4 linked regions of the Alligator mississippiensis genome follow. The protein of the gene in region 2 interacts with the protein of the main gene of each other region in a pairwise test. Links are inferred from orthologs where the notes say so. Each region holds a gene or a part of one and is shown on either strand. Other genes may lie near its edges. The genes, in order: SOX5, TLE5, L3MBTL2 and MLX.

The links.
Region 1: the proteins of TLE5 (region 2) and SOX5 interact in binary tests that used the Homo sapiens proteins (3 or more experiments, as listed by UniProt). The two-hybrid records come from large-scale screens. The link is inferred for Alligator mississippiensis from reciprocal best matches to the Homo sapiens genes TLE5 and SOX5.
Region 3: the proteins of TLE5 (region 2) and L3MBTL2 interact in binary tests that used the Homo sapiens proteins (3 or more experiments, as listed by UniProt). The two-hybrid records come from large-scale screens. The link is inferred for Alligator mississippiensis from reciprocal best matches to the Homo sapiens genes TLE5 and L3MBTL2.
Region 4: the proteins of TLE5 (region 2) and MLX interact in binary tests that used the Homo sapiens proteins (3 or more experiments, as listed by UniProt). The two-hybrid records come from large-scale screens. The link is inferred for Alligator mississippiensis from reciprocal best matches to the Homo sapiens genes TLE5 and MLX.

Annotation. Positions count from the first base shown.
Region 1 is NC_081827.1:124,856,549-124,863,831, reverse strand, and holds the start of SOX5 (transcription factor SOX-5), read right to left. Parts: upstream 3,098-7,283; 5' UTR 2,760-3,097; intron 1-2,759.
Region 2 is NC_081839.1:3,804,648-3,811,937, forward strand, and holds the start of TLE5 (TLE family member 5), read right to left. Parts: upstream 3,336-7,290; 5' UTR 3,044-3,335; coding exon 3,017-3,043; intron 2,354-3,016; coding exon 2,256-2,353; intron 466-2,255; coding exon 402-465; intron 1-401. UniProt on the Homo sapiens protein: Transcriptional corepressor. Acts as a dominant repressor towards other family members. Inhibits NF-kappa-B-regulated gene expression. May be required for the initiation and maintenance of the differentiated state.
Region 3 is NC_081827.1:97,502,239-97,510,345, forward strand, and holds the start of L3MBTL2 (lethal(3)malignant brain tumor-like protein 2), read right to left. Parts: upstream 3,282-8,107; 5' UTR 3,181-3,281; coding exon of another isoform or gene 3,151-3,180; intron 1,667-3,150; 5' UTR 1,642-1,666; coding exon 1,582-1,641; intron 1-1,581. UniProt on the Homo sapiens protein: Putative Polycomb group (PcG) protein. PcG proteins maintain the transcriptionally repressive state of genes, probably via a modification of chromatin, rendering it heritably changed in its expressibility.
Region 4 is NC_081827.1:152,004,101-152,011,759, forward strand, and holds the start of MLX (max-like protein X), read left to right. Parts: upstream 1-4,418; 5' UTR 4,419-4,465; coding exon 4,466-4,510; intron 4,511-5,162; coding exon 5,163-5,202; intron 5,203-6,002; coding exon 6,003-6,092; intron 6,093-6,817; coding exon 6,818-6,924; intron 6,925-7,272; coding exon 7,273-7,372; intron 7,373-7,659. UniProt on the Homo sapiens protein: Transcription regulator. Forms a sequence-specific DNA-binding protein complex with MAD1, MAD4, MNT, WBSCR14 and MLXIP which recognizes the core sequence 5'-CACGTG-3'. The TCFL4-MAD1, TCFL4-MAD4, TCFL4-WBSCR14 complexes are transcriptional repressors.

The sequences.
Region 1 (7,283 bases), on a different chromosome or scaffold from region 2:
CTAATATGAAAGAAACTTTTCTGGAACTGGTACAGACCCAAAAGAGGTAGAAGTCTCCAACAACTTGCAATATTTCAGTACCGTGAATCTGAATTAACCTTTGGTTCAACCTTGAACCAAACCCTTGTGTAAACCTATATGGATCTGAAAATTACCACATACAACAATCTCTAATGTCTTCGAGAGAGAAAGAAAAAAGTGGAAGGAAATAAAACCAAAATTACAAAAGGAGAGTTTATAGTATATTAAACAAAACCTACACATTGTAAAAGGTCACTCCAACAGCCTGAGGCCCAGTTATATAGTACTTTTGCAGGCATGGCTCCCATTGCCATCAGTGGGAGTATTTCCTGGCCCGTTCAATGAACACCAAATTGTTTGTATGTAGAAGAGAGGAAAACATACTTCACTGCTAATGAGAAAAGAATTCTTATAATAATACTAATCTATTTATAATGGTCAAAGAATATCATGGCTTCCACCAACATCACTGCAGTGTTTTGGCAATATTGTAGCATTCTGCTGTATTTTTTGGAAGGATCACTCATTACTTTCTCTTGAATCTTAGAACATGTTTCACAATGCTGTTTTTCAATTTATCCATAAATCTACATCACAGGATTTTATATAGGTATGAGCACTACGGCAGAGGCAAAGCTCCTCTTACACATACTGCATTAGGATACTGCCAGCACCACCAACCCACACTTATTGGTGCTTTGTTTCTTTCATACTTTCCATACTAGTATTTAAAGTTACTTGTAAACTTATTTCAGGCCTAATTGTAGAACTTTAGGATAACTATCTGGGAAGAACTGTTTCCCAATCCTGAACATTAAGAAATTATCAATATGAGCTAAATCTCTGGCAGCTTAACAATGCTGATCAGCCTAAACGAGCGGGGCAAGTCATACAAAATACGAAGATGCAGTAATATAGGATAATATATAGGATAATATATATATATATATATATAGGATAATATAGGATAATATAGGATAATATGCTGGTTAGGCACCAGCATATTATCCTAAATGTATGCATCTCAGACATATGCCTTACCATTTCAGTGTTTACTAGTAAACATCTAAAGAATTACTGAGTGATTCTTGCCTGCTACTACAAGATCATGACAGCAGAACAAGTATGGCCTAGGAAAACTTCTGTAAACAGAAGCATAACATTATATAGGGAATATGTATATGCTTATATTTGCTTTCCAAAGGCATGTATTAGCTTCCAACATTTATAAAAACTTATGCTAGACTAAACTGAATGCATCTGCACATACATGTAGTTGAATGGAGTTAATTTGAAATAGCCAATCCATCTCAAATGTCAGTTTGTTTACAAGAGATGTTTGTGGCTTTCAAGTTCTGTGTCGCACACAGTGTAGCGCTCAACCAAGTGAGTTTAAATGCAACAACAAAAAATCTCTGATATAAGATTTCCATGCATAATAGCCAGGTTTTCATTGTCAAATTATGTAGTAATATACATGCTATCCATTGAACAAAATGATGCCAGCCTTTCCCTTTTATGAGCACAGAAGAACTTTACAAAACAAACATTGTGGCTGTAACCTTGCTGGATCTCAAAACACAAAACTTTACCCCTTCAATCCTAGTTCCATATTTGTAAACAGCACAGTTTACAGGAAGAAGGATCTACCTTTGAGGCAATGATATTTTCTACCACTGGGAAGGATTAAGGAGCTACAGAAATCATGACAGATACAGTATCCTTCATCAAGCAAGTTTCTGGGGCTACAATACTTGGCTATCACTTGCTGTACAAAGCCCAAGAAATGCCCCTGGCTCAGAAGAATCTGATTTTTAAACCTCAGCTGCTGACTTTAGCTAAGTAGTGGGCTGCGAGCCGAGTTTAACACAGGAGGAAGAACCAGGCCGCTGTGTTCTGTTGCTCTGCACCTGGAATAAGGTGTCTTCCCTGGATGTGAATAAAGCAAAAAACTGAACATATTCCTTGAAAGCAAGGGGGAGGCATCCTTCTAAAAATCCATCCCCAAATTTTCAAAAGCGTCTAAGGCTAACATTTGGTTTGCCTAACATCAGAAACAACCTAGGACCTCCAATCTGCTTGGCATCTAGCTCCTCAGTGGTTGCCCCCCCCCCCCGCTTGCCTAAAATCCTGCTCAAGCCCCTTTCTTCTTTTCTGCTGATGGATGTGCTGACCGCCTGCATGCCTCCCACATGCCTCAGTTGCCTTGGGCTGCTGGTGGGGGTTAAACCAAAAAAGCAAAGCATAGCACAGCCAGGCTGAGGGCCCTTATTTCTAAGTACTAAGGAAGCAGGTCCCTCGTAGGGGAGGATTCCCACACTTCTTACCCGCGGGTGACTATTGGCGCTCTCCCCGGGGGCTGCTCATCACCTCCCCCTCTAGAGTCAAGTCCCTTAACTTTCCGGCCATCAGTGCCTGGACCAGGCAGAGTCGGGCTGGGGGAGGGCTCCGCGCACTGATTGGTAGAGGGGCTGGTTTCTTCCCCCCCCCCTTCCCTTCTCTTCCCTTCCGCACCTCTTGTCTCCGGGGCCCGCAGCCCAGCCCAACCCAGCCCAGCCCAGCTCGGGGACCGGCTCTGCTCCTCGCCCTGCAGCGCGCCGCTGGGACGGATCCGAGGGGGGGATCGGGGCCGGGGGAAAAGGCGGGACAAGTTGCTCCAAACTTTGCCAGCCCCCCGCAGCCGCCCGGGGCCCCCGGCCCTGCCCCCGAAGTTGGCCCGGAGCCGGCCGCGCACCTACCCGCCGTGCGGAGCGTGTCCTGGCCCGAGAGGGAGGCGGGAGGATGCTCGGGGCTGGGCAGAGGGGGCGCGGGCTGCCGCTCGGCCCCTTCTCCCGCTCTGCGTGCGCGCCTGTGCCTCAAGGACGAGGTGAAATCCCTGCGCTGGTCATGAGGCGGCTTCAGAGACAAACACCACAATGCGAGTGCAAATAACAAAAGGCAAAAAAAACCCCACAGAAAGAGAGGGAGAGACAGTGGGAACAATGGGGGAGGAGAAGCTTTTCTGTGCAGTCTCCAGCCACCTCCGACACCCTGGGAGCGGGGAGCTCGCACTTCAGCTCCCTTCTGATCTCTCCTAAACAAACCCTGACCTCCTTCCCGGAGCCCCCCTCGCGCCGCCCCGCCTCGCCCGCCCCGCTGCGAGCCGGCTCTGCCCATTGCGGGCGGCCGCGCTGGGCCGGGCGGACAAGCCAGTGCCGGGCTGCGGCTCTACCCCCCGCGCGCCCCGCAACTTCGCGCCGCACCGCACCGCACTGCGCGCCACGGGCGGCCGAGTCCCGGGACGGCCCGGCCCCCGCCTTTCCTCGCTGCGAGCAAACAGCCGGGAGTTGGGGGGTGCTGTTGCTGCGGGGTGTTGGTGGTGTGTGTATGTTGTTGATGCGGGGGGGAGTGCTGGGGGTGGTGGGGTGTGTGCTGGTGGACCGTGTGTGTTGTTGCTGGGGGTGGAGGGGGTGTGTGTGTTGCATGTGTACGTGCTGGTGTGAGTGCTGGTGCATGTGTTGGGGGTGTGTGCTGGGGTGTGTGTGTGTTGGTTGTTGCTGGGGGTGCTGGTGGTGTGTGCGCGTATTGGCCGTGGTTCTAGTAGTGTTCGGGGGGGGGGGGGTGTCCACAGGAGCCCCTGGCCAGGCGAGCCCCTGTCAGCGCGCTGGAAAGGCGCACGGCGCGAGGAGTGACCCCCAGGACAGGAGAGCACGGCCGCCTCCTGCTTCTGGGGAGCCTTCAGCTTCCCTTCTTAATCTTCCTTATCCCTGGGCTGGAGACTTTCCTGATCCCGACTTCTCCCCCCCCCCCCTTATTTTTTGGAAGCTGCTAGTAAGTGAAGTAGTCTGAGCTTCTTTTATTGTTCTTTCGCCTCCCCACTCTCACAAGCAGGGGAGAAACCAGTGCAATAGGCGCCGGCGGGAAAGGGGGGAGGGGGGGGAATGAATCGGAGCTGAAACAGCCACGCACTCTTTAAGAAGGTGGCGGTTTTAAAAGCATCTGAGAGTCACCGTGGGGCTCATCCACGCTAATAGGTTTGCTCCAGGGAGAGAAAGAGCCCATCGGCTTCCCTCGGCACACAGAGAAGTCCTGCCCAAAAGTTACATCAGCAGGCGGGAGCCCTTCGGCAATGCAGGGTGATGAAAGTGTGCCCAGACTTGGAGCACAGCGCAACCCACGAGCAGGTCCCAGCAATCTCCTCTACGCTGACTTTCATGTACTGGAAACAGCAGCGGATTTGTTTTTCTTCCACCCAGAGCAGGCTAAAACACACACACTCCACCCAAACAAAGGGAACAATCTTTACCTGTCACCTCTCCCCCCAAACTCTCTCTCTCTCTCTCTCACACGCACACACCCCCAAGCAAAAGGGACAATCTTTACGTGCCATCTCTCCCCCCAAACGCACACTCTCTCCCTCCGTCTCACACACACCCTCCACGCAAGCAAAGGGGACAATCTCTACCTGTCACCTTACTTCCCAAACTCTCTCACAAACGCGCACGCAAAGGGGGACAATCTCAACCTGTCACCTATGCCCCCAAAGTCTCTCTCATCCCGCCCTCCCGAGGAAAGGAGAGAATCTCCTCCTGTCACTTCTCCCCCAAAACACTCTCTCTCTCTCTCTCACACACACACACACACCCCTGTGCCTGTCCGCTCTCCAGGGGCCCGGCCGGGCGCCTGTGCGGTGACGGTGGCGGGCCGGGGGGGTGGGGCACCCTCTGATCCCTAGCTCTCCTAGTCTCTCCCCCCCTGTGAATGCCCTCCCCCCACCCCCTTCTTTCTGTCATCTTTCTTCAGAAGCGCCTCAGTTGAGCGCAGCCATGTCTCCAGGCACCCCCAGCCTTTCCCAGAGTGCAACACCACGACCCCGAGATCAATGACCACATACTGTTTACTCTTAATCCCAGCAGGACTACAATTGAGGCTGGCGGCTGGCTCGGCGGCGGGGCGTGCGCTTGCTGCGCGTGTGGATGATTTCCCCCGCTCCGCTCTCCCTTTCGGGCTGGGCTAAGCCCCACTTCGCAGACAAGCCGACTTCTGGCCGCCCGCGCACGCCACTCCCGATGCATTCACGGGGCGGGGGGGAGACAGAGAGAGACATCTTCAGATCTACACCCTGGAGCTGCGGGAGGGGAAAAGAGGCGATCCGCGTCCTTTTTTATTACTCAAGTAGGTCGGCTCTGTGCAAGCAGAGCTGGGGGGTTGTGGCTTGCTCTTGTGTTTACTTGCAAGGGGCTTTTGTTTTTAATTGATTAGTGAGCACGTGCTTTTATAAACTGCCTGAGCAGGCCAGCTTCGAGTGTCACTTGATTTGTGACAGCCAGTGGGAAATGCAGAACTCCCCCCCGCCCCCAGCCAAATCGTTCAAAGAAGAGTAACTTCGGTTATTATTAATCTCGGCTACAGAAGGCTTATCTCCTACCAATATTTGATACCGGGACGAGTCCAGTAATTTCCCTGCTTTCTCAGGGACTTAACAAGTCAGCCTTTACAATTCATGAGCATCGCAATCATTTTTTTCTGCTTGGATGCCTGATTGTATATGATCTCTTTCTGTGTGCGCATCCCTAAATGATTTTTACTCTTTGATGCAAAAGGACAGAAAGCATTAGCAGCATGGATAATACCCATAAATGAGACTTCAAACTCTCGGGGGTGGGGAAACAGAAGGGAAAAAAACAACAAAACAGCCAGAGACAGAGCTTTCTCACTCTTTTTACTTGCATTCTCCATACCTGTAAGGTAGGAAGTCCCAGTAGGAAGTGTGCACAGGTGGGGGAAGGACATGGACAGAAGACCTGATTCACCATTGTCCTGCTTTTGCTGCAACAATTTACACCATTACAAAGTAGGAGTATAATGGTACCCATTACTAAATGGTTGTATTTTAGTCCCACTGTGCAATTCTATAAAATAACTACATACAGCATAGGGCAGTGCCGGACTGAACCTAGACACACAATGCTGCTCAACTCCCTTTTCTGTAATCAAAGCCATAAATGATGGGCCTTAGGTCAGGCCTCTTCCGGTTACTCTGACTGAATGTTCTTTAGACTGCTCAGCCCTTTCAGCCGCCTTTTAGCCTCACATGATGGAACCTATTTTCCCTATAAGCACCTCAGCTCCTTGCTTGGTGATGACACTGGGTGGGCCCATTCAACGGAGCAGCATTTGAATGCAAGAAAGGAAATTCAGTGATTATTGTCAGGGGCAGGATTTAAAGAAAAAGCCAAAGAAGGGTCTCAATGCATTTTATTTAGAATCCAAAAAACAACAGGTGTAAAGATTGCATTACGCTCTCTAGGATGTGTTTTTTTCCACTTCTGCAGTAGTATGAAGACGTTCAGTGGAAAAAATTGAGTTACAAAAAGCCCCATTGGCCTGATGCCAGCTGCATTTGATCCTATCTTTATTAATGTGGTAATTTTGTCTCACAGGCCTCCATGCCTCTAGTTTTACAAACTAGTGATGTCATCATGAACACCAACTGCCTCATCTTTTTTTGTGTAGGAAGTCTCATTTTACTTTTTTGTTAAAACAAGTTACCATTTTTTTGCTGGGTGCTTTCAAATGTTTAGTCAGTCAAATTATTTTCAGTAGAACCTAAAAGATGTGTCCTGATTTCCATCTCCTCCCAAATGTTTATAAGTGTACATAACATTAGCAGATACACTGGAGTACTAGGTAGCATAGATACAGCTGGGAGAGAGGATAACATTCCTCCCCCAGACAACAAGATAAGTGTCAAATATGATTTTCATTGTGCCTTACCTACTGAAGGGTAGAAAACAGCAGACCAAAAATTATACCATTTGTTCCAAGTGCTGTTTTTGCAAAACTTGGATGGACTTTAGTTTTCAAAACCCAAAGAAGAATTGGTTTTAATAAGGTTTCAGTTTTATCTGAGCTGCCAAACACCAGGGTATTTGGATAAAAGATTTCAAACAATCACTACCATAAGCTTTTTTTTATTATTATTTTTTGGTTTGGTGAAGTTGGTTAGAAATGTACATCCAATTTCATTCAAACTCTCAGTACTTCGAGGGTGGCGGGAAAACAATTTGGGTAAATCCCCATGCCTGCACGGCATCCAGTGATTTCAGCAGTCATAGTTCATGTCACATTGCAGAATTGGGGCCCATGAGCCAAGCTTGCATGCTAGGCTATGCAAACAAATTAACTATCAGATTCCTTTTTGTTTTATCCCTCTAAAAACACAAGACTTTTCTACTGGCACGGATCTAGTACTGTCATTTACACGGCTAAAAAGTAGGTAT
Region 2 (7,290 bases):
TACAGCAGCTCCGTCTTCCCAGTTGGGCCCGTACTCATAATTCAGAGTAAGTTCCCCCCAGCCACCTCCTCTCTGCTGGGCCAGTCAGCACTGGATCCCCTATCCAGAGAGTCCTGATCCTGCCAAGAGACACAGTGCAGATCTCACTCCCTAACCAGCAACACAGCATGGGGAAGAGGGAGAAGAAATGACCTCTGTTTGCAACCTGCGAAGTTGGAAAGCCCCGTTTCAAACAAACCCGACACAGGTCTTGCTTCCGCTGGGCGCAGGGGAGGGGGTGGGAAGGGAAGGACACCTGTCATCAGATGTACCCAAGCGCCAGCATCCTGCTTCGCCAGCCTGCCCCACATCCCATCGCACGGGGCCCGCCGTTGCCCCCCGCCACCGGGGCAGGGCCTTACCATGACGTAGTGACGCTGCATCTCCGATTTCTCGCTGGCCAGCTTATCGCATTCCAGCTTCAAGCTGAAAGAGCAGAGAGAGACGGGAGCACCGAGAGCCAGGCCTGCTACCAACTCCCCTCGTCGCCAGCCGTTTCCTGCGGGCTCGTACAGCACCTAGCACGACGGCTTGACCCCTAGATACTATTGCAAGACTAAACAATTTGGGGCTTTTTTGTACAGCACCTAGCCCCGCGGTCCATAACCGATGCTCCTAGATAGAAGAATTAAGACGATGCTAATGACACCAGACCACCCAGCCACGAGGTCTTCCAAAAAGCTACCCAAGAGCCAATCTTCCATCTTCTGGAACAGAAAAGGCAGGAAGGAGGAAGAGTTTGACCTCTTGTCTATGAGAAAGGCTTGGGTCTGATCCCACAGCTGGGACCCAAGTAGAGTCAGGGGTCACAGGGCCATGACACGGGTCCAACTGCAACATTTGAGAAATGCTTGTGCTATTAATAAGTCAGACACGTAATGAGGACTACGGCACAGCTGCAAGGCCACCTCTCCCAACAGGTTTTGTGGTGCTCTGTGGGAAAGCAACAGGAACTCAAACATCCTTAAAAAAAAGAGAACAGAAGATACTACTTTTCTCTATTTAAATGTAATAAACCCGGTGATTTTTGGCAGTCGGGAGCTCAGCCATCATGTGCTGGGGGGGGGTTGGATTTCCAGCGAGAACCAGCTTTGCTCGCACACAGCCCGTTTCTCTTCCAGCGGATTAAACCCAGCAAATGTCTCCTGCTGAAAGACGGTGACTGCGGATATGTTGCTAGCGCTCCCGGGCCCCGCAGCTGGCACGGCTTCAGAGCAGAGGCACGCTGGAAAGTCGGCCTTCCCGATGAGCGACCTCGGGCCGCCACACACCTCAGCCGCTGGGCCCTGCGGGCAGGATCCCGCGCTCCTGGCATCCAGCAGGAAGCAGGCCGAGACACGGAGGACCCGGGGAACGTCGGCGACGGATGGGCAGCTATGGGAGGTCGTATCGGAGGGCATGAAATAAGCCAGGCCTAATAATTAAGGGTACTCTCGCCTGGCAAATTGAAGCCCGGCGTTTTAGATTTCAATACCCCAAAAAAAGACGCAGATAGTGATGGCTCTGGAAGGGTTTGGAGAGGAGCATTTCCTCCCAGCGTCTGCAGCCAAAACACTGCAGCCCTGAGAAAGGCATGTGAAACTAAGCAGAGATTCACAAGGGGCTGGTCTAATCTCCCCGTCCTGGCCCAGCGAAGGGGAGATTTAATGCTTTCATCTCCAGTTAGCTACAGGGTCACCTGGGATATCTTTTAACTTGGGCTCATTGCTTCTCATTCCAGCTGGGGAATCTCTTGAGCCCTGGCAATCCCTGCTCTCAGGCCCTCAAATGCAAGCTGGGGTGGGGCAGCGCATGTTGCCCACTCTCTTGCTCAGGGATTACCTGTGCGTGCAGAACCGTCCCCACCGATGGGATCAATACCCCGGAGACCGCAGGCAGAGCCAAGCGGGGAGACATTGCAGGGATCCTGCTTTTATTCCTGCCGAGTCTGTCCAACAGTTTCTCTACCTGACACTCTTTGCATGGCAACACCTCCGAGGGGGGCACCCCGAGCCCTGCTCTGACGCTAAAGCTAGCGAAAGACAGGCCGCCGGCTCCCGAACCCAAGCCCCTTCCTCCGGCATCTGAGAGCACCAGTCATGGCAAGAAGAGAGGGGGGCCCTCCCCGAGGCAACATGCAGCCAGCTCCCCGGGGTAGGGGGGGGCTAGGCCTGGCAGACCCTGTCGCGAACACCACCCGACCGCAGTGCCCGCCAGGCCGGCCTCGGCTGCCGTACCTGTGATACTGCGCCTGCAGGAGCTGGAACTCATCCTTGATCCGGTCGCAGGAGTCGGACGTCGTGAACTTCAGCTGCTGTGGCAGGTGAGAAGAGCCCTTGAACGACAAGGAGAAAGCGCTGGGTGGGGGGGCAGAGCCTCGCAGCCTGGATCCCTGCGCCCTCGCCTGCCCCGGGTGCAGGTGGGGGTTTGCAAGCGGGTGCCCCCCCACCCCCAGCTGCCGAACGGCCCCTTCGGCAGCACCCGAGGGGGCTCCGGCTGCGAGACGTGCTGGCATCGACCCCCCCGGCTGCAGGTGGGGAGCGAGGGGACACAGTCAAGGTCAGCGGCGGCCTCCCCAGACCGCCGCACCCCCCACGACGGGTGGGGAAACTGAGGCACCGGGCCGCGCTGTGCCGGCGCCGCCTGCACCCGTTCCCCAGGCCCGGCCCTGGCCTCCCAGCCCGGAAATACAGCGTTTCCCCCAGCGAGGAACGCCAGGCAGAGCCGGGGCGAGGAGGAGGAGGAAGAGGGGGGCTAGGGCAACACCGCTCCTGCCCGGCCGGGGAGGGGGCGCGGGGAGCGGGGCAGCCGGGGTGCAACCCCCCCCCCCCCCCAACCCGCGCCCGGCCCCGCCGCGATCCCGGGCCCGGCCAGGCTTTGCAGCGGGGCCGGCCGGCCGGCCTGCTCCACGCACCCCCCTCCCCGCCCCATGCACCCCCCCTCCAACCCGCATGCACCCCGCAATCCGTGCACCCCCCCGATCCGTGCCCCCCGGTACCGAGTGGCGGCTTTGTGGAAACATCATGTCAGGCTGCGGCCGCGATCCGGGTCCCCGCGCGGCTCCGTGGGCCGGGACCAGGCAGCTGCAGCCGGCTCCGCCGCGCCTTTGTCCCGCCCCGCTCCGCTCCGCAGCGGCGCACCCGGCCGCTTCCCCCGGCGCAGCCGCGGCCCCGCGCTCGGCCCCGGCCCCGGCCCTGCTCCCGCTGCCGCTCCCGCTCCCGGCCGCTCCTATTGTCTAATGGCGGCTGCGGGCTCCTGTCCTGCGGCTGATCAGCACCGCCTGCCGGGCCCGGCCCTGGCCCTGCTCGGCTCGGCTCGGCCCTGGGGCCTCCTCCGGGCCAGCGCCTGGCGCGGGGGATGCGCCTGCCCCACGGCCGCCCCGCACCGCGCCGCCGTCCTAGGCAGTCTCCTAGATCCTAACGAGACTCCTTGATCCTAAAGACACTCCTGGATCCTAGGGAGGCTCGTCCATCCTAAAGAGACTCCTCCATGCCAAGGAGACTCCTCCGTCCTGGGGAGTCTCCTAGATCCTAAGGAGTTTCCTCGATCCTAAGGAGACTCCTCAATCCTAAAGAGACACCTTGATCCTAAAGAGACTTCTCAATCCTAGGGAGATTCCCAGATCCTAAAGAGGCTCCTAGGGAGACTCCTCAGTCCTAAGAAGTCTTGTAGATCCTAACAAGACTCCTGGATCCTAAAGACGCTCCTGGATCCTAGGGAGATTCCTCGATCCTAAAGAGACTCCTAGGTCCTAAGGAGATTCCTCAATCCTACCGAGTCTCCTAGATCCTAAAGAGACTTCTGGATCCTAGGGAGACTCCTTGATCCTACAGACACTCCTAGGTCCTAAAGAGACTTCTGGATCCTACGGAGACTCCTTGATCCTACAGACACTCCTAGGTCCTAAAGAGACTTCTGGATCCTAGGGAGACTCCTCCATCCTAAAGAAACTCCTCCGTCCTAGCGAGATTCCTCCATGCCAAGGAGACTCTTCCGTCCAAGGGAGTCTCCTCAATCCTAAAGAGACTCCTCAATCCTAGAGAGATTCCTCGAGGGTAGGGAGGGTCAGGGATCAGCCCTCTCCAAACCACCCCAGACAAGCCCGTCAGCAGCCCTGACATGACACGGGCCACAGGGCAGGCAGGGGGACCGCACGGCCCCCTCCTCTGTGCACACTGCAAGGGGTAGAGCAGCCCCCTATTTACTGGGTACCGTCGGGCATCTCTTGCCCCCATCGCTGGAGCTTGCCCTCGAGGGCCTCCTTGCCCGTGTGTGGCCCGCCGGTATCTGGCCCGCGTGGGGGCCCTGCTAGCTGGCAGCAGTGCCATGTGGTCCTGCCGTGCGGCTTGGCCTAGAGCGGGGAAGACAAGATCGGGGGAGCTATGAGGGCACCTTGTCTCTGGGTGAAAGGCTAGAGCAGGGATCGGACGTGGGTCCGAGGGCTTGGATCCTGGCCGCTTCCCATGGGCCATAATAGGAGATGAAGAGTGGTGGCAGGGCTGTCACCTTCTGTAGCCTGGACCCAGAGGAGGCGACTGGGGCAGGGAGTAAAGACTGGTCTTGTCCAACAAGGGGTGTCGCTTCTGCAGCACGTGGTGCTGGGTGGAAAGGGAGTCTTTGGCTTAAACTCTACCCGCTGCTAGCTGGGTCCCCGCGGCAGCTCAGAGCCATCCTCCCCCATTAGGCAGTGTTGCCAGGCTGGCTTTCTCATGCCGTCCGCCGCAGGAGCAGCACGTGCCGTTTGGGCGGGGGTTTCACTTCCCCTGACTTTGACTCAAGGACGCTGTTCTGTGTCCGAGAAGGCCGGGGAAGCAGCGGGCCTGGGGAAGGCAGCAAAAGGTCACGTGGCGCCTGGTGAAGCTCAATGCGTGGTCTCAGATCGGTGCCCAAAAACAGTCCAGTGACGGTGCCCTTGGCGCGGAGAATCCTGGTATCTCGGAGGGGCAGGAGTCCTCAATCCTTCAAGCTGAACCCAGGAGGGATTGGGAGTAGGGAGCCGTAGCACTTCCCAACCATCCAGAGCTACGACCGACCGGCCTGAGGGTGAAGCACCCTGCGCTTGTATGTGACTGGAGAGGGCTCGAGGGCAGCGCCTAGCGCCATCGCCCCATGTCGCCAAGCTGCGGGATGCCTACCAGGCTGCGATCCAGGCCAGGAAGTCAACTGGGAAATGCACCTTATTTCTTTCCAAGACATCCGGTGGCAGATGAGACTGCTGATCCTGATGTTGGGTATTAAAGCAATTGGCATATACTAATGAGAGGCCAGATCCTTGTGATATATGGAATAGAGGCATGGGCAGAAGTGAGGGCTGGGTTAGGGTTTGCAAAAGGCTGACTGTTTGCAGGGCTGGAGGTGGGGAAACAACCGAAGGATGCCCAGTTAAAAATGCAGACAGACAGGCAGAAGGAATCAAAACTCATGGTAGATGTGATAAAACCAACTAGATTTTTGCAAAAATAAAAATATTTGCAACCTGAGTACCTACAGACAGACAGGCAGGGCCAGGCGGCGGCAAAGCTTGCAGGACATGCAGCATCATAAAAAATGAGGGTGAGAAGGGAGCTCAGGAGGTCACATCTAGCCTAACCCCCTGCTCCAAGCAGGACCAGCCCCAACTACATCATCCCAGTCAAGGCTTTGTCTAGCTGGGTCTTAAAAACCTCCAAGGATGGAGAGTCCACAGCCAGACACCATCATCTTTTGACCCCCCCACATGCCTCTGTGAGTGTTGCAGTGTCACCCGCACAATAACAACTGGGCGTTGTGCTTGGCACGAGCAGGAGAGACTCCCTGAATCCGTGGGCAGACGGGGCCGAGACGCACGTCTTCCATGAGGCCTTTGGCTCAGGTTGCTGGCCGGAGATGAACAGAACGGGAATGTCAGGGTCAAGCTGAATGCAGCGTAATCGCTGACGGCGGATTCAGAGAGACGAATGACCGCCCCGTGGTAACAGAGAAATTACCAAGGCTTGTTTCACGTAACAGAACCCATCCGGAGCCCACGTGGGGAAGGTACGCAGCTGTACCAGGGCAAGGACACAGCCATTCACTCAGGTTGGAAACAGTGGAATGAAAGCCAACACCCACGCTTGCCTTGAAGATTCGTCGACAAAGGCAGTGGCTTGCATGGAAACGTTCCCTGGATGAAGGCAGAGCTTCACGGCCGAGCCTTTGACTGGAGATCAAGGGGTTCCAGCTCACTTCGAAGCTGAGTCCCCACCTACCTTCCTGACCAGTCCCCACCACCTATTTACTGCCCTGGAAGCAAGAGGGGTTCTCCGACAGTTTGGAGGGTGTTGGACCGGCTCCTGCATCTACCTGAATCCTCCAGAGAATTCGTGTTCTAGGCAGAGCCCTGGTACCGCTGGGAAATGAAGGAGAAACTAAACCTGGCCTGGCATTAAAAATAGATGTTGAGTGCAGTAGATGATACAGGGTAAAAGTACAGTTGGGTATTTTGAGTGCCGAATTCTGTCCCCACCATTGAATGGAAGTTGTGAGTGGCCTTGAAATACAGCACAGCAAGAAACCACGGCACCCCAGGTAGCTCGGGATGTGTTACACAGGTGAGAGATGGGCACAGGATGAGCGCTGGCTGCTGCTTTTGCTAACACTTGGTCTCTGCCCCTCTGCCGGGACCAGGCCAAGGCCCTAGATTCAAACTGTGCCAGGACCTTAGGTCCAAGCTACACCAAGACCCTAGATCCAAACTGCACCAAGATCCTAGGTCCAAGCTATGCCAAGACCCTAGATTCAAACTGCGCCAGGACCTTAGGTCCAAGCTGCACCAAGACCCTAGATCCAAACTGCGCCAAGACCCTAGATTCAAACTGCGCCAGGACCTTAGGTCCAAACTGCACCAAGACCCTAGGACCAAACTGTGCCAAGACCCTAGGTCCAAGCTACGCCAAGATCCTAGATCGAAACTGTGCCAAGATCCTAGATCCAAACTACACCGGGAAATTCCAATCCAGAGGCATACTGTGGTTCCACCTTTGCAAGGGGAGTTGTGCCACCGATTTCCTAGCATGTCCTCAGGCATGCAGAACTAAGCATGTGCCTTCACGTCAGCAGGATCAGGTTCTTTGCGTCCCTCCTGTGACTCAGGGACGCAGGCCAAGAATAACAAGCACAATACAAAGAGTGTGTGCATGGGTGTGTGTGTGGAGGGGGGGAAGAGCTCTTACCCATTTCAGACGCTTGATGCATTGTCTCAGAAAACCAGTGCCTTTTCTGATTCCAGCAAAGCTCCCAGGGCTGCAGTGAAGG
Region 3 (8,107 bases), on a different chromosome or scaffold from region 2:
CCACTTTAAAAGACAGATTTTCAGCGTTCCCTTATGCCAGGGATGATGAAACTCCGGACTGCCGATTGGCCAGGGACTCCATTTCCCAGCCGCCCCTGCCCACATGGCTTGTGCCGGTCTCCATGGAGACCTCAGCCATGCCAGCAGAGCTGATGGGAATGTGGGACGGGGGCAGCTTGCTGCGGAGCCATGATTTGTAGCCTGCACGCTCTGTGCAGAGGCACACATCCAGGGGATCGTGGCTCTGCCCCAGCTCCTTGCAGCAGGCTACAGATCGCAGCTCCGCAGCAAGCTGCCCCCATCCCACGTTCCTGGCAGCAATGGAGCAGCCCCCTGTGCTGTCTGCCGCATACGCTGCTGGCGTGAGAGGTCTCCATAAAGACCGGTACAAGCCATCTGGGCAGGGGCAGCTGGGAAATGGAGTCCCTGGCTGATTGGATCCAGCCCACAGGCCGGACGTTCCCCATCCCTGCCTTATGCAGTAAAGCCTGGCCCTCAGGAGCAAGTCACTGGCTGTGGCAATCACAGGATACCAGGACCAGACCCTTGAGCCAGCACTAGCTTCCCTGGTAGGAAGAATTCCCACCAGCTCCACATTTCCTTAATGTTTTACCCCTCATACACATCTCTCCCAGACGAAAAGAAGATTCATAGTCACAGAAGGGCAACCACAGGAAAGACACTGGAAGCAGAGAGCAGGAGGCAGACCAATGGCTTATAGCTGCAGCAAAGTAGGTTTAGATTAAATATCAGGAAGAATTACTTCATTGTTAAAGCACTGAGGCAGTAAAATAGACTATCTAGGGAATTGTGGGATCTCCATCATTGGAGGTTTTCAAGAGTTTGGATAAGCATGAATCAGGAACAATCTAGAAATAGCTATGCCTATGCTCGTTATGGTTATTTCCCATGTTTCTGGGCTTCACTGGTTACTGCATGAAGCCAGGAAGGAATTTATTTCCCCACTTCTGTTGCTACTGCACCTGTTCAGGGAATTTTCTTTTTGCCTTCCTCACAAGCATAAGGAAGTGGCTGCAGCCAAGGCTTGGGATTTTGACTTGGGTGTACCAATGCTCCTACTGGGACTAATAAATAGTTGGAGGTTCCTCACTAGAGGGTCTTGCCCCTCCACACCAGGCCAGACCAATGATCACATTTGGGATCAGGAAGGAATTTTATCCCATGGCCTGACTGGCATGGGCTGGGGGAGTTCTGGCCTTCCTCTGTAGCAGGCGCGTGGCCCTCTTCCTAGGATCTCTTGAGCATGTTAACAACCCTTGCAACAGGACACTGGACCACCCTTGTTCCCCTGCGCTACCTGTGGCAGGTTAAGGTGCTGTGCATTGTGGTTGTGCAACAGGGTTGTGTACTTCTAGTAACAGGTTAGACAAGGATTTGTACCAGATGGTTTGGATAGGGCAGGGGGTTGGACTAGAAGACCTTCAGAGGTCCCATCCAGCCTTACTTTTCTATGATTCTGTGACCCAGGAGCAAGAAGCCAGAATGCCTGAAACCATCCTGAGTGGGGAGGGGTCAGTATGAATTCATAGGGAAGGAGAGAGACCACCCCTTTTCACTCACTTTCCTGTCCAGTGGTTGGTCTTCTTCACACCCACTAGAAAACATTTTTTGTGCTGTCATCAGGGTGGCCCAGCAGGGAGAGGAGCTGTCAGCACAAATGATCTATTTCAGTAACTAGCTGCTGCTCTCCATGCTATTTAACCCTCCCCAATACAGCTTGGGACACAGTGGATCAAAAAATGGCCTTGAAGCAAGGAGGTGCATTTTCTAACAAAGTAAAAGCTGTACACTCTATTACCATCACATTCCCTGGGCTGACTTTGGCTCAGGAGCTGCACTGGAAAACCAGACAACTTTCATTTTCAAGTATTAAATAAGTATCAGTCAAAGTCCTTTTCCCCCTGTGATTTCATCATGATCTATTTGTACAGCTATATCCATACAGCAAAGAGATGCAAGAGTACAGGGACAGCAAATCAGGGGATGCACAAAAGGCCTGTCTTTAAGATGGAGGGGAGAAGGAAGAGTGATTAGCTGTGCTTTGGACACAGATTAAGGAAGTTAGGAGATATGCTGTTGCCAAGAGCTCATGCACAGACACTGAGGCTCAGCAATGAGAGGGGCAAGGGAGAGAAGAGCAGAAGCACAGACATGCAGTCACAGGGAGAAAGGAGCTCACAGCAGCAGCAGCCAGCAAGGAAACATCACCACCAGTCAGCACTGCCAGCAGCCCTACTGCTCTGCACCCACGAGATCTCTCTCCTGTGCGGTGCTTGCAGTGGCATGAGATTTTCTTTAGCGCTGGTCATTGAGCCCGGGCATCTTTCTGCCGCCCAGAGGAGCAAGAGCAGAACAGCCACAGAACACAGGGCCTGCTGTGTGTTCAGATGAAAGCTGGATAGAAACCAGCTATGGAGCTGTCAAGCACTACCCTGGGAGCAGGTTGGCTCTTTCACATCAGGAGACTGGAGCTCTGCCTGCCTATCTGGCCCCAGGCATGGCACCAGAAGCTTTTCAGAGGTCCTGGACTTCAATCTCTTACCTAGCTGCCTAAGTTTAGGTCCCAGGACCTCCCTGCTACCCTTATCCACATGTTGGTGCCCACATGGACCCAAGAGACTGGGCAAAGATACAGTATGCAGGACCCTGGGCAAGATGTCTGACCCAGTAAGTGGCTGGTCTTATAGGATGGCCATTTTGATGGCATAAGTGTTACTTTGCACCACATTTATTGTGCAGTTTGCCCATCATCTGTGTCACACATGTAAAGGGGAGCAGGGGCCCCGTGCACGGATCCATCTCCTAGTGCCAGTTGTTTGCACCCAAGGCTCGTCCTGCGCAGCCCCAGGAGAGGGCTCCTGCCCCCCGCAGCCAGGACCTCCCAGACGCGGGGGAAGCCCAGGGCTCCCAAGGGCCTCGCTGGGCCTGTCGGGGAAGAACCCCGGGGGGGCGGGTTCCGCCGTGGCATTGTGACGCAGGGCTCCACGCTCCGCCCCCCCACGGGACCGTGGAATCTCCGCGGCAGCGATTGTGACGCAGGGCTCCACGCCCCGCCCCCCGGGGAGTCCCGCGCTCCTTCCAAGGGGGCCCGAGCCCATCCCCAGCCCCGGCCCCGTGGCCGCCCCTTACTTCGCCCTGCTCCTGCTCCGTGGCCGCCATCGCCGGGATCCTGCGCCCCGAGCGCTCCCCACCCTGCCAGGCCCGGCCCGCTGCACTCACATGGCGGGACCTCGGGCCCCCTTAGCTTTACTGTCCCCAATACATCGGGGCAGCTGGTTGGCCGCCGGCCCCCGCGCGCCCGCCAATCGCCAGGCAGATTGCTTTGCAAACGCCGACAGCGGAAGGAACGCTCAGTCTGGCCGCACAACATCCTGGGACTCGTAGTTTGCTTCCCTGCGCGGCGTGGGGGAGAGCGTCAAGGCTGCCCCGTGCCGCAGGCTGCTAGCTTCCGGGCTCTGGCCCCGCCCCCTCCAGCTCTTGCGGGGCCTGCGCGGTCGGCCACTGCTCCAGGCTGCAAGGTGCGGGCTTGAGCTGTGAGGCGGGGTGCGAGCACGGGGCGGCGCTAGGGAGCGCAGCACCTCCAGCCCTTAGAAGCCTGCAGACCATGAAGCCCCCCTCCCCTCCCTTCCCCTCACATGGGATGAGGGCCCTGGCGCCCCGGAGCAGTGGTTCTCAGCCGGCTTTGTACCAGGACCCACTTGTAAACATGCATGGCCAGGCCCGACCCAGCGCCCCTCACTCTGGACCCGCTGCCCCCCCACTGTGTAGGGTGGCTGGGGAGGGGGGCAAGTAGCCCCTTGCTGGCTGGATCTCTGCCAGCCTGCAAGGGAAAAAAATCCATGGTGTCCCATGTTTTTTTCTCCTTTGAAGGAGACTCCGTTTTTAAAGTCTGTTTGCAACCCTTTCTTGCAACCCGCTTTTGGGTTGTGACTGGTGGGTTGAGAAATGAGCCAAGCCCAGTCCTGCAGCCGTGGTGGTGTTCAGCAAAGCTGGAGAGACGAAGGGCCTGAGGCAAAGCCACCAGTGTGAGAGGCCCCGTGGGGCAGCTTACCTGTTTTCTCTTCTGTGCCCCCCCCCAAAAAAAACACCCTTTTCTTTTCTTTAAGAGGTTAGTGCTGCACAGGCCAGCACTATGGCTAGGAGTAGGAGGCAGCAGCAGCTAACTGCAGCCTGCAGGAAGACATCAAGTTAACTCCTTGAGCAGAGAGTCATCTTTAGTCTCAAGTCAGGCCAAAGGCAGAGCAGAGGTGTACTTTATATGCAAAGATGCAAGGCCTACCCCTTTTCTACTCAGAGCTTTCATGAAATCAAGCTCACTCCATCAGATACTATGACAGGACAGAAGAAAGCTATGTAGGAAGGAATGAGTGATTTGAATTCAAGAAGGGTATGCCTTATATCCCAACTAAGATGCAGCTATTTTAGACGCACACACACACAGATGTACACACATACAGAAGAAGGGACCTCCAGAGATCATTTAGGCCAACCCCTTGCCTGAGGCAGGATCATCTGTATCCAACTATCCCATACGATCCAAAATCTAAACTCCATATACACAAGACTACTGTCAGTCCTGACCCAACACCCTAACCAGCCCCAGGTAAAGCAGGGGAACCACAGCAGCGAACATCCCATTTTCATGAAATATCTATATATGCTTAAGGGCTCCTAGGTAGAGGGCCAGAGCCATGTCCCCTTCTTCAGCGATCCATCGCAGTCAAGGACAGCTGTCTTCCATTAATATCTCATCTGTGGGTCTGAAGATGGCCAATGCAGGATCAACAGACTGTCACAACTCAGGCATGTGTTTCTGCATGGGGTAGGTGGCTCCAGATTCTTGATTGTCTGTGATGCACTGTTTCTGCGACTCCCACTTTTCCATCTCCTGTTGTCATAAGGTTTCAAAGTATTGAGATTCTTGCAGCAAACTCTTCCTCCATTTGGGGAGGTCCTAGGCAATAGTTTCCCCATGAGCTGCTGCTAATGTTGCATTTTTTCCAAGTTGGCCTTGAGGACATCCTTCAAGCACTTTCTCTGCCCTCCTTTTGAGCATATGCCTTGACTGAGCTCAGAGAATAAAACTTGCTTTGGGAATTAAGTGTCAGACATCCAAATTATGTGGCTGGCCCAACAAAGTTTGTGTCAGATGATCATCACTTCAGTACTCATAGTATTTGCTTGCGAGAGGATGCCAGAAAATGTTGGTGCGGTCCATCTTCCCACTGGATTTGAAGGATCTTCTGCAGGCAGCATTGATTATATTTCTCCAATGACTTGAGGAGTCTCCTCTACATTGTCCACACAAGTCTCAGCTCTGTACAAAAAAGGTGGGGATCATAACTGATTGATAAACCATGAGCTTGGTTTTGGATCTGATGACACAGTCTTTGCACGCCTGTTTCCTTAAGTGCATCCAAAGGCTGCATTTGCACATTTGAGGTGATGTTGGATTTCTTTCATGTCAACCTCCTGTGACAAGAAATACAGGAGGTTGACATGAAAATGCTTCTGGGGTACAGGAAATACTCAACATTCTCAAGAGTTTCACCATGAATCTGAATTACTATTAAGAGCTTGTTGTTGGACGACCTTAGTCTTTTGAATGCTAAGCTTCAGTCCCACTTTCTTGTATGCCTCTGTAATGATGTTGACAATTGCCTGAAGGTCTGCTTCCGAGAGAGCGCAGACTATAGCATCAGCAGCATGCTGCAGCTTGAGGATTAAGCTCGATTGGTCTTGGTTTTGGCTCAGAGTTGTCTGGGATTAAAAACAGTTTACCATCCATTTGGTAGTTTAGCTCTACTCTGGCTGGAAGCTTGGTGGTAGTCAGATGTAGCATCATGACAAGGAATAAATCAAGAACAGTGTTGGAGTGATGATGCAGCCTTGCTTAACTCCCATCTTAACCTCAAGCAGTGATAGATCCGTTACTGAAAACCACTCATGTAGCGGGCAAAGAAGGGTGATGAATTTCAGTGGGATCTCAGAAGGATCCTCCATAGCACTTCTTGGTTGACAGAGCTGAAGGCTTTTGTGAGGTCAAAGAAGGCCATGTAGATAGGTTTATGTTGTTCCCAGCATTTTTCCTGCAGCTGGTGAGCTGTGAAGATCATATCAGTTGTGCTTTTTAATGCCCTAAATCCACACTGAGATTCCAGGAGGAGCTCTTCATCAAGTGGAAGGAAACAGTTCAGGAGGGTTCTTGCAATAAGCTTTCCTGTGGTGGATAGCAAGGTGATCCCTCTGTAGTTTCCATAGTCAGACCTGTCACCTTTCTTGTCATGATCATGGTAGTCCTAAGGTCACCTGGCACTTCATCTTAAAGATTTGGAATGGTGAGGAAGGCATGGAGCTGTGACGTGAGCGCCTCTCTGCCCCTGTCCCCCAACCCCTGCTTGAAGATTTCAGCAGGGATTCTATCAACTCCAGTGGCCTGCTTGATGAATTTCCTCACCTCATCAAGGGTTGGAGGGATTCCAAGATACTCTTTGACTGGGTGTTGTGGGATGGAGTGGAGAACACCTCTCATCAACAACAGTGTCTTAATTGAGGAGGTCTTCAAAATGCTCCTTCCAATGGGCACTGATGGCTCCCCATTCCTTGATCAGGTCTCTTCCAATCTTAGGTCTCAAAGGGTTTGGTCCTTGAGTGCTCAGACTGTAGATAGCTTTGGGTCACATTAAAAATAACCACGTATCTTGTGGATACCAGCAAGATGTTAAATCTCCTTTGCCTGGTGTTCCCACCATCTGTTCTTTGTATTGTAGGTACTCCTTTGGACCTCTGCCTTGCCTTGCTAGAGATTCAATTTATTTTGCTTGGAGGTTTTTTTCCGCCCCATAGATTTCATAGACATTAGGGCTGGAAGGGACCTCGGAAGATCAATCGAGTCCAGCCCCCTGCCCAGGGGCAGGAAGTCAGCTGAGGTCATAGGATCCCAGCAAGATAAGAATCCAAATTTCTCTTGAAGGTGTTCAATGTAAGTGTTTGAACCACTTCCGATGGCAGGCTAGTCCAGACCTTGGGGGCTCAGACAGTAAAGAAATTCTTCCTTATGTCCAGCCTGAAACGGTCTTGCAGTAGTTTATAACCGTTTGACCTCGTCATCCCTTGGGGCGCTCTGGTGAACAAACTTTCCCCCAGATACTGGTGGTCACCCCTGATAAACTTATAGGTGGCCATCAGATTACCCCCGAGCCTCCACTTTTCCAGGCTAAAGAGCCCCATACCTCTCAGCCTGTCATCGTAAGGTCTGTTTTCCTGACCTCTCATCATGCACGTGGCTTTCCTATGCACTCTCTCAAGCTTCTTCACATCCTGTTTGAATTGTGGAGCCCAAAACTGGACACAGTACTCCAGCTGCGGCCTCACCAAGGCTGAATATAAGGGGAGAATGACATCCCAGGATTTGCTTGAGAAGCATCTATGGATACAAGCCAGCGTTTTGGTCGCTTTACTAGCCGCAGCATCACATTGAAGCCTTATGTTCATCTTGTGGTCAATCATGACCCCCAAGTCTCACTGCCGAGCCTATAAGGATGCTGCAGGTTTTTCCTCCCAAGGTGAAGAACCTTGCATTTTTTCAATGTTAAACACCATCAGGTTCTCGTCCACCCATTTGCTGAGCCTGTCCAGGTCAGCCTGGATCGCCCTCCTGTCTTCAGGTGTGGATACTTTGCCCCAAAGTTTGGCATCATCGGCAAACTTGGCCAGTCCGCTTCTGACTCCAATGTCCACATCATTAAATGAAGATGTTGAACAATATGGGTCCAAGGACAGAGCCTTGGGGGATCCCCACTGGTCACAGGGCATCATGACGATTGACTTCCGTCAACCACCACCCTCTGGGTCTGACCACGGAGCCAATTTCCCAGCCAGCAGATTGTGGTGGACCCAAGGCCACAATTGGCCAGTTTCACCAAGAGGTGATCATGGGATGCCAGATCAAAGGCTTTTTTGAAGTCAAGATATAGGACAGCAATCTCTTCTCCCTTGTCCAAGTGATAGGTCACCTGGTTGTAGAAGGAAATGAGATTGGTCAAGCAAGACCTATCCACAACAAACCCATGCTGGCTATCCCTCA
Region 4 (7,659 bases), on a different chromosome or scaffold from region 2:
TTTGCCCCCAGCAGGACCTATTCCTTACCCAAATCCTTCCTGCATGCCTAGCCTCAGTTCAGCCCATTCCTAATATTCCAGAAACCTTTCCAAGTGCAACCTCTTCTACCCTTCCCACTCTCTTGGGATAACAAGAGTATTAACTTACTGCGTATAAGATTTATCACTACTGACATCACCAGTGGTTGTGACATCATAGACAACCTTCCATTGCCATGGCGCAGTTGAAAAGCACTCTGTGTTCACGGACAGCAGGACAGCATTTACTCTCCAGACTTGAGAGTGTACAGTAGCTGTTGTAAATCTCCCTCTCTGTGATGTCCATGCAGACTCCTTGTTTGATCTTCATGTTTCCCTCCTGGCCAGGCAGCAAGCTAGGTATATACTTCCACCTTCCTCTGATGGAAATAACATGATTTTCTCTGTATTTTCTAAACTTTGACAAACTGACTAAAACTGGAGCCCAGGTAGGAGTTTCCTCAGACACTGGAACAGAAAGATGGGACATCAGCTGGTCCAGGGGTTGGATGCCTTTGAGAAAATGTAAATCCTGGTCTCAGTTTAGTGGCTTAGACTCATCCCAAGCAGCAGATAGGATTGATGGACAAGACGCTGACTGTGACAAGGCAGCAGGCCAGCTACTTGGGAAACCAAAGAGAAGGGAATAAAACTTGGTCCAGTTTAATAAAAAGACTTGGTGTTTCACAGGATCCACAACAGGGAAATGATGAAAAAGGCCAATCCCCAAGATATCTCACCTGTACTCTGTATTTTTGGAGGGGCAGAGAATTGTTATTGTTTTGCCTGCATGCCAAGCTCTCTTGGCCTCTTTATGGACTTGAATCAAATGAAAGTGAACTCACTCAGTTCAAGCAGCAGTTCTTCCTTTCAAGGGAAGGACTGGAGGTCACATCTTGAACCTATCTAATTGAGCTCGAAGTGAGAAAGGCTAAGTTAGGCCATGAGGATATAAAAGATGCCAGATAGAAGAGAAGGAGGTTGACAAAAATGCAAGACAAGACAGAGGCATAGGAGGAAGGGAGTGGAGAGGACAAATCAAAAAAAGCCTAAGAAAAGTAGGGACAGTAGTAAGAGATTATCTAACATAGTAGATAATTAAAAGAACTGAGTAGACAAGATGAGTGGCAGAGAAAAAAGATGATCCAGGAGGTATGAGATAGGAAAGAAGAGAGAGCCTGAGAGAGAGCAAGGGAGGATGAAGGGAGAGAGACAAAAAACGAGGTTTGGATGTGTAGGGATTGAGAAATGTGCTGTAATGGGTCTTGGGTCCTCCACGATCCACTGGCTGGAAAATTGGCTCCGGGGTCGGACCCAGAGGGTAGTAATTGATGGAAGTCACTCATCGTGGTGTCCTGTGACCAGTGGGGTCCCCCAGGGCTCTGTCCTTGGACCCATACTGTTCAACATCTTCATTAATGATGTGGACACTGGAGTCAGAAGCGGACTGGCCAAGTTCACCGATGACACCAAACTTTGGGGCAAAGCATCCACACCAGAAGACAGGCGGGTGATCCAGGCTGACCTGGACAGGCTCAGCAAGTGGGCGGACGAGAATCTGATGGTGTTCAACACTGATAAATGCAAGGTTCTCCACCTTGGGAAGAAAAACCCGCAGCATCCTTATAGGCTTGGCAGTGCTATGTTGGCTAGCACTATGGAAGAAAGAGACTTGGGGGTCATCATTGACCACAAGATGAACATGAGCCTGCAATGCGATGCTGCGGCTAGTAAAGCAACCAAAACGCTGGCTTGCATCCATAGATGCTTCTCAAGCAAATCCCAGGACGTCATTCGCTCCTCGTACTCGGCCTTAGTGAGGCCGCAGCTGGAGTACTGCGTCCAGTTTTGGGCTCCACAATTCAAAAAGGATATGGAGAAGCTTGAGAGAGTCCAGAGAAGAGCCACGCGCATGAGCAGAGGTCAGGGAAGCAGACCCTACGATGACAGGCTGAGAGCCCTGGGGCTCTTTAGCCTGGAAAAGCGCAGGCTCAGGGGTGATCTGATGGCCACCTATAAGTTTATCAGGGATGACCACCAGTATCTGGGGGAACGTTTGTTCACCAGAGCGCCCCAAGGGATGACGAGGTCGAATGGTCACAAACTACTACAAGACCATTTCAGGCTGGACATAAGGAAGAATTTCTTTGCTGTCCGAGCCCCCAAGGTCTGGAACAGCCTGCCACCGGAGGTGGTTCAAGCGCCTTCATTGAACACCAAGACGAAACTGGATGCTTATCTTGCTGGGATCCTGTGACCCCTGCTGACTTCCTGCCCTTTGGGCAGGGGGCTGAACTCGATGATCTTCCAAGGTCCCTTCCAGCCCTAATGCCTATGAAATCTATGAAATCTATGGCACAGCAGATCATGGCTGTCCAATTGGCAGCCCATGGCCCACTGCTGCCTGGCTGCTGCTTCTTCCATCCCTCCAGCTGCAATAGCAGTAAATTCTCTGTGCTCCCCTTTCTTCTTCCAGTTGCCAGAGCCATGGCAATTAACACTAGCACTGCTTCTCTGCTGCCAAGTTTCTGGACCCATGGGGAGCCCCATGGGCCAGATGATACAGCTCTATAAGCTGGATCTTGCCATGTGAAGAAATCCTCCTCAGTCTGTCTCACCTCTGTATTAGGACAGCCCAGGCCACTCTGTTTTTTCCTGTTTTGGTCAACCTGATCAACTGCCTAGTTTTGGTCAACCTAGTCACCTAGGTGCCTGGGCTGTAAAAATTCCTAGGGAGGGGGAAGCTCGCTCTTCCTTTGTCCTGAAGCGGGCATGTGGGGAAGAAGACAGGCAGTCATTCTGGGAACACAGACACAGAAGGATGTGCCTCCATGAGAGACAGACTCTCTGGAAGATTTGTAAGTAGAAATCTGGAATTTGGCTATTTAGAACTAAGTTTTCAGCTGTATGTTAAAAGGGCCACAAGCCCATATTTGAAAGGCTCAATTGATTCTGTTTTACTCAAGGCATTTTCTTTTAATATTCCTTTGTCCTGTACCCCTACCCCATTCTCTCCATCTGTGGTCAATAAAGCTATCTGTTACAGCTCACCTAGCTGTGTACTCTTGAGGGAAGAGGGGAGAGACAAGCCTTTTTGTTCTCTTTGCTCGGCTGAGCTGAGGGGAGTTTGGCTCTTTATTAACTAACACGGTCCTACCTGAGATTATCCTAGGAAGCTTCAGGCTATAAGGAGCACCCAGAGATATTACCAAGGGACCAAGCACCCCCAAAGCTGTCTTTATCTGTGTATCCCGGGCTGCAAAGAGCCTTAACAGAGACCAGTGCCCAGGTGGTGGCAGCGTTACCCCAGGCTTGTGGGTGTGCTCCAGGAAAGGGGATGGCCAGACATGGAGACTCCCAAAGCATGGTTTTGGGCCTGGCACAGTGAGGTGGGTGGCTTAGCATAGTAGCACCCCTTACTGTCCTGCCACAGCCCATAGGCCACTGAGCACCAGTGCTCTAAAGAGATAAACCAGACCAAGGGAGAGGGGCTCTTGGCTAGTGCGGGCTGATCTGCTGGAGCCTGCCCATGTGGGGCAGCCCTTGCAAGTGCAGCCGTACAGCTCTGTGCAGTCTGGTGTCCTGAGCCAACACTTGCGGTGTGGGTGCAAGCCAACTAAGCACTGTGACATCGCTCCCTCATACAGCACTGGCACGGTGTCACACGCCTGTTTCACAGAGCCATGCGTCTGCTGCCGGTGGCTCCCACGGAGTTCCCTGTGTAATCGAGCAAATCCGGGCTGAAGGAGATGAGGCTGCAGGACAGCAGGGGAAGGCGCGAAGGGGCCACGTGACAGGACAGCATGGGCAAGCCTAGAAATTTGCAAAGGGGAGCGTGGGCCGCCAAGCGCCTCATCCCCCGGGATCCGATTTAAAAAGAACCCCCAATTTTCGGTTAAAAAAAGGAACCCCAAATCCACATTTTTCCGTGATTTAAATGAAATAACAGATAGATAGATAGATAAACTATCTCTATCTATCTATCTATATCAGTGGTGTTTCATTTAAATCACGGAAAAATGTGAATTTGGGGTTCCTTTTTTTTACCCGAAAGTTGGGGATTATTTTTAAATCGGAGGAAACCAGGATCCCTGCTCCTCACATAACACAGCACAAGCTTTATGCAGCTAAAGAGACGCTGGAAGCGCTGGGCTCTGCCAGGGGCCTAGGGCCGGAGGGCTCCGTTTAAGATGCATGCAAGGCTTCATTGGGGTGAGGTAAAGCAAGCTGCGGGGCGGGAGATGGGAGCTGCGGAGCCGGAGAGCAGCTGAGGGGCAGCGGCAGGGCAGAGCGGCCCCTCAGCTGAGCCCGTCACCCGCAGCCAGACTACAACTCCCATCGGCCTCCGCGGCCGGGAGAGGCAGCTCCCGGAAGTGCCGCCCCACGAGGCCAGCGGATGCTGTGATTGGTTGGCGCCTCGGGAATCATATGACGAGGCAGCGGGAAGATGGCGGAGCCACTAGGCGCCGCGGCCGAGGACCCGTGGGGAAAAGTGAGTCTCGGGGGCTGGACGGTGGCCGGGATGGGACGAAAAGCGGGTGGGAGCTCGGGTGCTGGAGCGGGATCCCGCTGTCCCCGCTCCGGGCCCCCGCCACGAGGCGGCGCGGCCGGGCCCGGGGACCCGCAGGCAGGCGCCGCGGGGCCGCCTCAGCACGGGGGTTGAGGGTGCTGGAGACAGCGAGCCACCTCCCAGCCCTGGGGAGCGTCGTGCACGGCCGTCTGCCTAAACAGCAAATAATCATATAATCATATGAAGCAAATAACAGGGGGGAATTGTCGGCCAGTCATCTCGGGGCAGACACAACTGCCCAGTGCCCAGCCCCTCCCATTAGTCTCCGAGGGCATAAGTGTGCATCCCTGTCAAGACGGTACTGCAGGTTCCCAGAATAAACTGCAGTAAAACAAGGACGTGCCCAGTGTGCTGCCCAGCAGCACGGGCATAGCAAATTGCGCAGCAGCCTTGTTTGAGAGAGCAGCTGTTCTGCAGAGTGGGCTGTGGGGAGTCGACAGGCCATGGGCTACTTCTGTTGCTGACACACAGTAGCGTGATAGTTGATTGCGCAAAAGAGGAAACTGCCTTACTCACTGGCTGGCTTTTTTTCTCTTCTCTTCCCTTTTGCTTACACTGTCATCTGGCAACACAGCAGGTGGACTGTGTGTACAGCGACAATGGACTGGAGGCTCGTAAGTAGCTCTGTGCATTCCTCTTTCAAATATTGTCGGGTCAACTCTGCTGTTGCCAGACAAAAGAGCATAGATGAAACAGGCAGGGCACGCCAGTTTCCTGCATCATTTTAACGCTGGAAACTTAGCGCAAAGAATAATATGTGCGGAATGTAGGTTTTGTAAATATAAGCGGTGCATGGATTAAAACTTTAAAGGAGGGTTTAAATTAAGGGAAAGGGACGACTTGAACTTGTAAAGAATGATAAATGGATGTTTTTGTCTAGCTCTGGGACAGCGGTGCAAGCCAAAACGTGTAAGTAACAACTGGAACGTAGGGAGAAGGAAGCTTGAGATCTGCTGTCACTGCAGTTTGAGTGATCACACCCAGGCTGAGTGGTGCTGGGTGGGAAGTTATTTTTAAAACACGCAGTCTCTAATCTGATGATGCCTCGCCATATTCTCAGCTTTTTAAAGCAGAACTAATATCTCCCTTGTATCAGAGGCATGCAGAGTACGGGCCAGTTACCTGCTGAATAAGCTTCCCTGCTTCCGTGTTTTGTCCATGTTAAAGATTACAGTGAATCCCATTGGGGTTTAGCTGGTTCCTTCACAGCTCCTGAAAAATCTTTGCTGTCTACTTGTTGCTAAATCCACAAAACACCTACAACAGCAAACAGATACTAATTCTTATAGCTGGCTACCCTGTGCTTTACCCACCTGAGCTGAGCACCACACTGTATCCGTTTGGAACATCCCCTGGGATTTGAGATCCTTGCTCAGCTCACTGCTTCATGCATGACCAGTATTTTCTCTTCCAGCACTCTTTGTGGAAAGCAGTAGAAAGGGAAGCATAGTATCACGAGCGAACAGCATTGGCTCCACTAGTGCCTCCTCTGTCCCCAATACAGGTAAGGGCCATGGTGTCCCTTCTCCCTGTCTGTAGGTTAGTCCCTCCCTCAACTTGTCCAGCACTTAAGATGCTTTTGGTGCTCTTTCTCACTTATTTCTAACATGTGTTCTTCTCTGGCAAAAGCTGCTCACATGCAATCGCAGTAGCTTCCCTTGCCAGCTTGAGTATATATGTCTTTCATTCAGCAAAGGAGGATGGTGGGGAGCACCAGGAAGGTGTCGCAGTTTCCAACGAGACAGTTTGATAAGGCACTCCTGACTTGGGGCAAGGAGAAGAGTTAGTGTGAACAAATGGCCTGGCTAACGGAAATACCATCAAGAGAGTACTGAGCACCTGCCCTCTGAAAGAAAAAGACCTTGGACTCCAGCTTCCTGTTTTAATGCCCAAGAGATCTTCTCATGAGAATCCTGCCTACATTAGCCAGGGGCTTTGGCAAAAATGTGTTGCCCAGCTGCCTACTCACACCATGCTCTGGTGTAGGCAGCTGCCAGCAGGCCTGCAATGGCTCTGGGAGGTTCATCTTTGCCTTGTTTGTGCCCTGTTTGCAGCTTGTCTACCCAGTCAGTAATTGTGTCTGGGTCTGGACCAGAGTGCATAAAATGATTCCAGGAAGAGCATGCTCCCCCATTACCTCTGCACGTGCAGCTGCATGTCTGCCTCTGCTTCCTAGGCTCCAAAAGCGCCTGAGTTCTCTTTGACACAGTGACTCTTCTTCCGTTGCAGATGATGAAGACAGCGATTATCACCAAGAAGCCTATAAAGAGTCATACAAAGACCGGCGCAGGCGTGCACACACCCAGGCAGAGCAGAAGAGAAGGGATGCCATCAAGGTAACATCAGAGCAGCTATCAGACTGTTCTCTTGGATGGGAATACAGTTGGTCCTTTCCTTTTGTTACATACCTATAACGCGGGCATCCTGTGGTATCAGCATTCTTATTTCTCCCACATCAGGACACCCATATCCTTTTAGTTATCACAGTCACTGTGCCCCTAAACATTTGGCTTACTGGGGGCAGGTTATCAGCCCTGAGTAACTGCATCCTAGATGCCATATGAAGGAACTGGAGAGACAGCTGGGACTTTGGCACCTTATGAGACCACCTACTTGGCCACTGCCCTTCTGTCATGTGGTTTAATCTAAAAATGCCTGTAACATCATCTCTTCCTCTTGAACAGAAAGGCTACGATGACTTGCAGGCTATTGTGCCTACATGCCAGCAGCAAGATTTCTCCCTTGGCTCCCAGAAGCTGAGCAAAGCCATTGTCTTGCAGAAAAGTGAGTTGGGGGCAGAAAAGGGGCACATTCCTACCTAACCACTGCATCACTTTGCATCTATGCTGGGAATTCATGCTCCTGCAGCCACTGAGTGGGACACCAGCCATCCAGAACTAGACTGCAGTGAGGCAAGGGATGTCCCCACTTGCATTATTGTCCCCCACCCCCCATCTTTGGACTTTGAACTGCTGTTAGTGTTTTTCCCAGGACTTGCTCAGCATTCTGCTCCCTGCTGCTTCTCTCAGCTGGCTCTGCAGTTTAACTCTCCCAAGCTCTTGCTGATGTTC